Callithrix jacchus: one gene and its partner. The protein of the gene in region 2 binds, or shares a complex with, the protein of the main gene of each other region. Links are inferred from orthologs where the notes say so. Each region holds a gene or a part of one and is shown on either strand. Other genes may lie near its edges.

What was found.
Region 1: the proteins of MLXIPL (region 2) and YWHAB are in contact, whole or in part, in a crystal structure (PDB 6YGJ), measured with the Homo sapiens proteins. The link is inferred for Callithrix jacchus from reciprocal best matches to the Homo sapiens genes MLXIPL and YWHAB. Residues at the interface, in NP_116569.1 of Homo sapiens: Asp118, Ile120, Arg121, Asn124, Ala125, Trp127, Arg128, Ala129, Trp130, Tyr131, Ile132, Tyr134; in NP_003395.1 of Homo sapiens: Gly55, Arg58, Ser59, Trp61, Arg62, Ser65, Ser66, Gln69, Lys70, Arg129, Val178, Tyr181, Glu182, Asn185, Leu218, Gln221, Leu222, Asp225, Asn226, Leu229, Trp230.

Annotation. Positions count from the first base shown.
Region 1 is NC_133506.1:40,243,510-40,248,018, forward strand, and holds the start of YWHAB (14-3-3 protein beta/alpha), read left to right. Parts: upstream 1-1,691; 5' UTR 1,692-1,891; intron 1,892-3,661; 5' UTR 3,662-3,756; intron 3,757-4,509. UniProt on the Homo sapiens protein: Adapter protein implicated in the regulation of a large spectrum of both general and specialized signaling pathways. Binds to a large number of partners, usually by recognition of a phosphoserine or phosphothreonine motif.
Region 2 is NC_133503.1:10,080,094-10,083,894, forward strand, and holds part of MLXIPL (carbohydrate-responsive element-binding protein), read left to right. Parts: intron 1-162; coding exon 163-364; intron 365-504; coding exon 505-585; intron 586-3,801. UniProt on the Homo sapiens protein: Binds DNA as a heterodimer with MLX/TCFL4 and activates transcription. Binds to the canonical E box sequence 5'-CACGTG-3'. Plays a role in transcriptional activation of glycolytic target genes. Involved in glucose-responsive gene regulation.

The DNA of each region.
Region 1 (4,509 bases), on a different chromosome or scaffold from region 2:
TTGAACTGGGGCATTTACGATGGGGGAGAAATAGCAGGTAATGGCTAAAGGATAAGGGCAGCTTTGGAGAACCCTAATTGTCACACTCAAGTAACTTATACATTGTCATCTAGATCTGAGTGCACAGTAAAGAATTTTAGCTAGAGCAGGACACGATTAGAATGGTATTTTTAAAGGATCACTCGGCAGTTGACAGGCAAGGCTGAGAGTAAAATGGTGAAGCAGAAGTCTGTCATTTAGCTAAGTAAGGGTAAAGGCGAGACAGCAAGGGCCTATTTACTTAGTTCTTCCTCCTACCCGACTGCAAACTCCAAAACAGCAGGGCCCCATCTGCCTTGTTCATTGCTGTGTCTCCAGCACTAAGCAAAAGCCCGTTTGACATTTGTTGAAAGAATAAAGAATTTGTTGAAAGAATAAAGAATAAATGAACAGGAGAATGCGAGAGGCATTTTGAAGTTCTGAGTTTAAAAATCAGGTGAGGTGGCTCATGCCTGTAATCCCGGCACTTTGGGAGGCTGAGGTGGGTAGATCACCTGAGGTCAGGAGTTTGAGACCAGCCTGGCCAACATGATGAAACCCTGTCTCTACTAAAAATACGAAAATTAGCCAGATGTGGTGGCATACACCTGTAATCTCAGCTACTCGGGAGGCTGAAGCAGGAGAATTGCTTGAACCTGAGAGGCAGAGATTGCAGTGAGTCAAGATTGTGACATTGTACTCCAGTCTGGGCGACAGACAGTCTCCGTTTCAAAAAAAAAAAAGGAAGAAAGAAAAAAACTACCTTGAGAGGAGTATAATGATAGACTATTAGTAATTGTGGAAGCAGTCATGGAGGGGAGGGGAGCAATGGAGGCCTGTTTCCTTCCTTGAACTTCCTCAAGGAGGGGGCATTTTAAAGAAGAAATTATGTACACAGACTTTCGTGTATTTTCTGAGACAGGTCTCACTCTGCTGCCCAGGTTGGAATGTAGTGACATGACCATAGATCACTGCAGGCTTCAACTCCTGGCGTCAAGCAATCCTACCACCTCAGCTTCCCAAAGTGCTGAGATTACAGGTGAGAGCCACCATGCTCGGCCCTACACAGGTTTTTAAAAAAGAACTTCGTGCGTCGGATGCCTGGCACTTCACGTGGCCTCTTCAATCTACCAAAGTAGGAAAAAGCACCCTGAAGAATAGAAAGGAGGATTAAGTGATCCTTGAGGGACGAGCAATTTCTGTTCTTCCCTGGGTCCAGTATTTCCAAAGAACACAGCAACAGGACTGACACTGGCCTTCGATCCGGTGAGGATTACTTTCAGGGTGGAGGGGGAACCGATGACCCTCGAGTCTACGGGCGTGTCCCTGGCGCGTTCCCAGCCTGAGCAGAAAGGGCAACCCCCACCCAAACCTCACTCCTAGTCCTCCTTGTTCCCACACAGCCCTAATCTTGACCACACCCAGCTCCGCCCTCTCTCCTCCCACCTCCTCTTTCCGCTCCCCCCGCCCCATTTCCTTCTTCTCCGCCCACCTTCTGCTGGGTCCCTCCCCCGGCCATGGGCCCTGCCCAGGCCGCCGCATCCCTGCCCTCCGCGTTTCTTCCTCCTCCCTTCCGTCAGCGCCCCTCCCGTGGGGCCGCGGCAACCCCGTGCCTCGCTTGCCCAATGAGAAGATGGCGCGGGGCGGGCCCCGGCCAGGGCCGGAGCGGAAGTGGTGGCCGGAGCGGAAGTGGAGCTGCCGCCACTGCCGCCGCGGATTCCCGAGCCTGGGTAGCTGCTGCCGCCGCCGCTGCAGCCACTGCAGGCAGCGCCACCGCCACCGCCACCGCCTGAGCAGTGGGCTTGGGAAGGAAGCGGTCACCTCGCTCGGAGCTTAGCTCGGAAGCGTCTTTGTCCCTTGCAGCCCTCCTACGGTGAGTGCGGCGCGGGGCCCGCCCATGGCCCCCGGGGGCCCAAACTCGAAGCCCCTCTCTGACTGCTGCGACGACGGCGGCCCAGCGGGTGGGCCCCGGGGTGTAGCGGCGCGCTGTCTCTTCGGCTCGGCGCGGCCGAGGGCTGCGAGGCCAGGCCTCGCAGCGGCCCCTCCCTGCTTCCGGGGCCGGGCTCTTTACCTCTTGGAGAGCTCGGGCCTCCCTCGCAGCCTGAGGTCCTGCCGGCCGGGTGGGGTGCAGCTCCGTACTGCGCCGGAAGAGACAGCGGAGCCGGGGATCCCGGATCCTCCCTCACTACCTGCTTCGGTTCCCACGCGACCCCTCCCTGCACCTTGGTAGGCGAGAACCGTCCCCTTCAGCCCTGTCACCCCTGCTCTGTGCTTTCCGGTTTCCAGAAATTAAAATTTAATCAAACGCGGGTGAATTTTTTCTAGCCCCAGTACCCCTGTTTGACTCCTCCTGGATGAGTAAGGGGTTTAACCTTGGGAAACAGCAAGGGGAAAACCCCCTCCCATTTTGGAGTAAAACCATTTCATCATCCTTCACTGGTTATGGAGCCTGGCAGGACCCAAGATTCTCTAGGAAGGGAATTGGGGTTTGACTCAAGAAAATGTATTTATTGGAGCCAGTTACTGAGTCCGGCCGGATTCCGAGGAAAAAATACCAGGGGATGAGAATCGGAGTATTTTCCCACGATATATACCGTCATTTAACGCCAGATTCTTTTGTTTCCTCACCCAGAATTCCCCCATATTGTGTGTTAGCACGTTTTTCGGTCTGAAATATGCCTGGTGGCTTCCTGGTCGGGGGAAAGGGGGTGAAGGGCGAGGGGAAAAAAGGGGTGGGAAGATGAGTGCATCTTTGCCGCAAATGGAGAAGCCCCATATAATGGGGTTTTCAAAGGTGGCAGCCTTGGTAATTAGTTTGCCAACCTTTCTGTGAAATGCACATCTATTGTCGCTGTCTTCGCTGCATTTCCCTTTGGTAAGGCTAGATAGCATCAGGTTCTGATTTTACTTGCCCTGTGTGGGAGATGGAATTTGGCAAGATGATGCTGTGAACATAATATCAGCTTGCCACGGGAGCCAAAACAGAAAGGTGAAGCACTTTAAGAATATGAAAATTGTCTGCATTTCTCTGTCAGTTCGTATGAAACCAGACAGATGCAGTTTATAGAACTGGACACTGTAGCTTTTGCATTTTCGTGTTGGAAATGTAAGTATTGGTTCTTAGTGAATTACTCTTGACTTCCAGTGTACCCTATTTCTTACTTAGGGATATCTCATTTGTTTGAGCCCTCATTTCTTGGATCGCCTTCCTTGGCGATGCATAGTGTGTGAGTGTATAAAACCTGTCAATCTTACTGGACCTAAGTTAGAAATTTAAGTGTGGCCCTCAAAATGGAAGGCTAATAATCCAGTAGCAACTGTGGAATTATTTTCTTAGCGTCTTCCTTCTATAAGGTAAGAAACCATTCACCCATCTTGCAGATGAAGTCTTTAGAGAAGTGAGGTGATTTGGCCTAGACCATACACCTAGTTTTTTTCAAATTGAATATCCTCATTCATCAGTAGCAAATATTTATGGATTGCCAGCCTCTGGAATATGAATCCTACCCTATAATCTTTTGTACATTTCCCATCTTACAGTGCTTGTTATATTGAAGCCATTTTAGAATTGGAGCACCATAGATCAGGGAGGCAGCCTCTATAAAACCAGGCTGAGCAAATTCCCATGATGTTGGTTCTCTAGGCAGAGTCTCCAAAGATTTGGGCCACAACAAAAAGTGCATTTTGCCCATTTGGCCGTGGATAGAGAAGCAGGAAGAGCACTGGACTTGGAGTCAGGTAAATTTGGTTGAAATCTTGCCTGCAGTATTTCCTAGCTTTCTGAAAATCTTCAGCATGTTAATCAATCTCTGGTTCGTAGTTTTCTTATCTCCAGGGTTGTCACTAAGACTTTTTTTTATAAACTGTAAATTGTTAAATATAAGCTTTTGGTTTTGTTGTTTTTTTAATCGGGGTTCACTTTTTTTTTTTTTTTTTTTTTTTTGAGACAGTTTTGCTCTTGTTGCCCAGGCTGGAATGCAATGGTGCGATCTTGGCTCACTGCAAACTCTGTCTCCTGGGGTCAAGTGATTCTCCTGTCTCAGCCTCCTGAGAGTACCTGGGATTACGGGCACATGCCACCACACCCAGCTAATTTTTGTATTTTTAGTAGGGACGAGGTTTTATCACATTGGCAAGGCTGGTCTCAAACTCCTGACTTCAGGTTATCCGTCCGCCTTGGCCTCCCAAAGTGCTGGAATTATAGGCGTGAGCCATCGCGCCTGGCCCAGAGTTCAGTATTAATGGCTTTTTCTCTCCAGTTAACATCTGATGAGACTAAACCCTACTTTGTACACATGTTGCTTTCAAAAACTGATATATTAATATAGGACTTTATTTTGCACATAGGAAAAATCTAGTCTTTCTGAATCATTTTCTCATCTGTATAGCGTAAATGGTAATGCAGCCTTTGATATATTTATGTTGTGACAAGCTCAATAATGAGAGTAAGCATCTGGGATACAGTTGGGGTTCAATAGATGTTATTTGACC
Region 2 (3,801 bases):
CTTAGAGGCCAGTGGAGTGATCTGGTCTTACAAGCAGCCAGCCAGGTCCACGGAGGGAAGGTGAGAGGTGTGCGCAGGGAGCCCTTCCGTGCTGCTGACCATTTTACCCCGGTCGGGGCAGGGGGAGTCCTTCAGTGGCTGCTGACGGCTCTGTCTCCCTAGTCGGAAGGCGAGTGGCCGCCACCGGAGCAATGGTGCAGACAGCTCTTCTCCAGTGTGGTCCCCGTGCTGCTGGGGGACCCCGAGCAGGAGCCGGGTGGGCGGCAGCTCCTGGACCTCGACTGCTTTTTGTCCGACATCTCGGACACGCTCTTCACCATGACTCAGCCCGGCCCTTCACCCCTGCAGCTGCCGCCTGAGGATGGTGAGGATCTGGGAAGGGGCAGGGGAGGGGGTGAAGGCCTGTGAGATTCCAGGAGGCCAAGGGAGGAATGGCTGCGGGTTGGGGCGGGGACCCCGTTCCCCTCTGCCTGCTGCTGCTGATGTCGTCACTGCTGCCTGCAGCCTACGTCGGCAATGCTGACATGATCCAGCCGGACCTGACGCCACTGCAGCCAAGCCTGGATGACTTCATGGACGTCTCAGGTGGGGTGAGCCCCTCCCGGCCTTGGGTGAACAGGCAGGGTCCATGTCAGGAAGGCCGATGAGCCCATCGAAGGCCCCTCTGGGGGAGCTGATGGTCTGGGTGGTTTATTTTCTTTCTTTCTTTCTTTCTTTCTTTCTTTCTTTCTTTCTTTCTTTCTTACTTTTTCTTTCTTTTTCTTCTTCTTCCTTCTTCTTCCTTCTTCTTTCTCCTTCTTCCTCCTTCCTCCTCCCTCCTCCCTCCTTCCTCCTCCTCCTCCTCCTTCTTCTTCTTCTTTCTTCTTCCTTCTCTTCCTCCTCCTCCCTCCCTCCTCCCTCCTCCCTCCTCCCTCCTCCTCCTCCTCCTTCTTCTTCTTCTTCTTTCTTCTTCCTTCTTCTTCCTCCTCCTCCCTCCTCCCTCCTCCCTCCTCCCTCCTCCTTCTTCTTCTTCTTTCTTCTTCCTTCTTCTTCCTCCTCCTCCCTCCTCCTCCTCCTCCTCCTTCTTCTTTTCTTCTTCCTTCTTCTTCCTCCTCCTTCCTCCTCCCTCCTCCCTCCTCCCTCCTCCTCCTCCTCCTCCTTCTTCTTCTTCTTTCTTCTTCCTTCTTCTTCCCCCTCCTCCCTCCTCCCTCCTCCCTCCTCCCTCCTCCTCCTCCTTCTTCTTCTTCTTCTTTCTTCTTCCTTCTTCCTTCTTCTTCCTTCTTCCTTCTTCTTCCTTCTTCCCCCTCCTCCCTCCTCCCTCCTCCCTCCTCCCTCCTCCCTCCTCCCTCCTCCCTCCTCCCTCCTCCCTCCTCCCTCCTCCCTCCTCCCTCCTCCCTCCTCCTCCTCCTCCTCCTTCTTCTTCTTCTTTCTTCTTCCTTCTTCTTCCCCCTCCTCCCTCCTCCCTCCTCCCTCCTCCCTCCCCTCCTCCCTCCTCCCTCCTCCTCCTCCTCCTTCTTCTTCTTCTTCTTTCTTCTTCCTTCTTCCTTCTTCTTCCTTCTTCCTTCTTCTTCCTTCTTCCCCCTCCTCCCTCCTCCCTCCTCCCTCCTCCTCCTCCCTCCTCCCTCCTCCCTCCTCCCTCCTCCCTCCTCCCTCCTCCCTCCTCCCTCCTCCCTCCTCCCTCCTCCTCCTCCTCCTCCTCCTCCTCCTCCTTCTTCTTCTTCTTCTTCTTTTTGAGACAGGGTCTTACTCTCTCAGCTTGGAGTGCAGTGGTGCCATCTTGGCTCACAGCAACCTCTGCTTCCCCAGGCTTAAGTGGTCCTCCCACCTCAGCTTCCCAAGCAGCTGGGAATACAGGCAGGCACCACCACACCCAGCTAATTTTTTTTTTTTTTTTTAAGACAGGGTTTCACAATATTGGCCAGGCTGGTCTTGAACTCCTGACCTCAGGTGATCTGCCCACCTAGGCCTCCCAAAGTGCTGAGATTACAGGCGTGAGCCACCATGCCCGGCTTTTTGTGTGTGTATTTTTGGTAGAGACGGGGTTTCACCATGTTGCCCAGGCTAGTCTCAAACTCCTGAGCTCCAACGATCCTCCCGCCTTGGTCCCGCAAACTGCTGGGATTACAGGCGTGAATCACCGTGCCTGGCAGGTCTGGATGGTTTCTGAGGGATCTTCCTGGTCTCCTTTTGTCTAGTTGATGTGGCCTCCAATGAAGGCAGGAGCAGAGAGATTACCTGGACAGGGAACCAGGGGCTCCCAGGAAAGCAGTGAATGCTGGGACTCTCTCAGGGGAGAGAGGAACTTTGATTTATTTAGGTTTATTTATTATTCACACAACGCATTTTAAAACTATTTACTAGGCTGGGCAGGGTGGCTCATGCCTGTAATCCCAGTACTTCTGGTGGGGCCAAGTTGGGCAGGTCACCTGAGGTCAGGAGTTCGAGACCAGCCTGGCCAACATGGGGAAGCCCCATCTCTACTAAAAATACAAAAATTAGCCAGGCGTGGTGGCACACAGCTACTCGGGAGGCTGAGGTGGGAGAATCACTTGAACCCAGGAGGCAGAGGTTGCAGTGAGCTGAGATTGTGCCGCTGCATTCCAGCCTGGGTGACAGAGAAAGACTCCGTCTCAAAAAATAAAAATTAAAAATTAAACTATTTACTAGAGAACATTTCAAGCTCGCACACACTAGTAGAGAAAGCACAGTTCAGCAAACTCCCAAGTCACTGTCACTGGTTGACTTACCACTCTGGGCCAGTCTTCCTTAATCTAGACCACATTCCTTCTCTTCTCTTATATTTTATTTTATTTTTTGAGACAGGATCTGACTATGTTGCCCAGGCTGGAGTACAGTGGCACAGTCACAGCTCACTGCAGCCTCAACCTCTCAGGCTCAAGTGATCCTCCCACCTCAGCCTCCCAAGTAGCTGGGACCACGGGCACGTACCACTATGCCCGGCTAATTTTTTTTTTTTTTTTTTTTTTTTTTTGAAGAGACAGGGCCTCCCTATATTGCCCAGGCTGGTCTACAACTCCTGGTCTCAAGAGATCCTCCCACCTCAACCTTCCAAAGTGCTGGGTGTGTGCCACCATGCCCAGTCTATTATTTTAAAGAAAATTCCAGCCATTATATCTTGTAAGGCATTTTTTCTTTTTGAGATAGAGTCTCGCTCTGTTGCCCAGGCTGGAGTGCAGTGGCTTGATCTTAGCTCACTGCAGCCTCCGCCTTCTTGGTCAAGCGAGTCTCCTGCCTCAGCCTCCCGAGTCGCTGGGATTACAGGCCTGTGCCACCACACCCGGCTAATTTTTGTATTTTTAGTAGAGATGGGATCTTACCATGTTGGCCAGGCTGGTCTCGAACTCCTGACCTCAAGTGATTCACCTACCAGGGCCTCCCAAAATGCTGGGATTATGGGCATGAGCCACCACGCCTGGCCTAAAGCATTTTTTTTGTAAGTAGTGAATGTCCCTACCTCCCTCTCCTGACCCCAGAGCCACCAAGTTCCTGACTCCTCATGGTCCTGCCAGAGGTGCTCCTGTCGGTAAAAGCACATGTGGACAAATGCCTCTGTTTTCACAGTGGATCTCCCAGCTGGCCTTCATTTCACCATAGGTCTTGCAGACTATTCCCAATAGCCACATATTTAGGGGCTCCCAGAGCCATGTGCGGGCCAGGTAGATATCTGGGCTCAGCCTGTATCATCCAAGCCCCCCGGAGACAGAAAGAGGGTCCCTGGGATTAAGGCTTAGTCCTAGTGACCTCCTGCTGGGCGCAGTGGCTCACGCCTATAAACCCAGCACTTTGGGAGGCCGAGGCCAC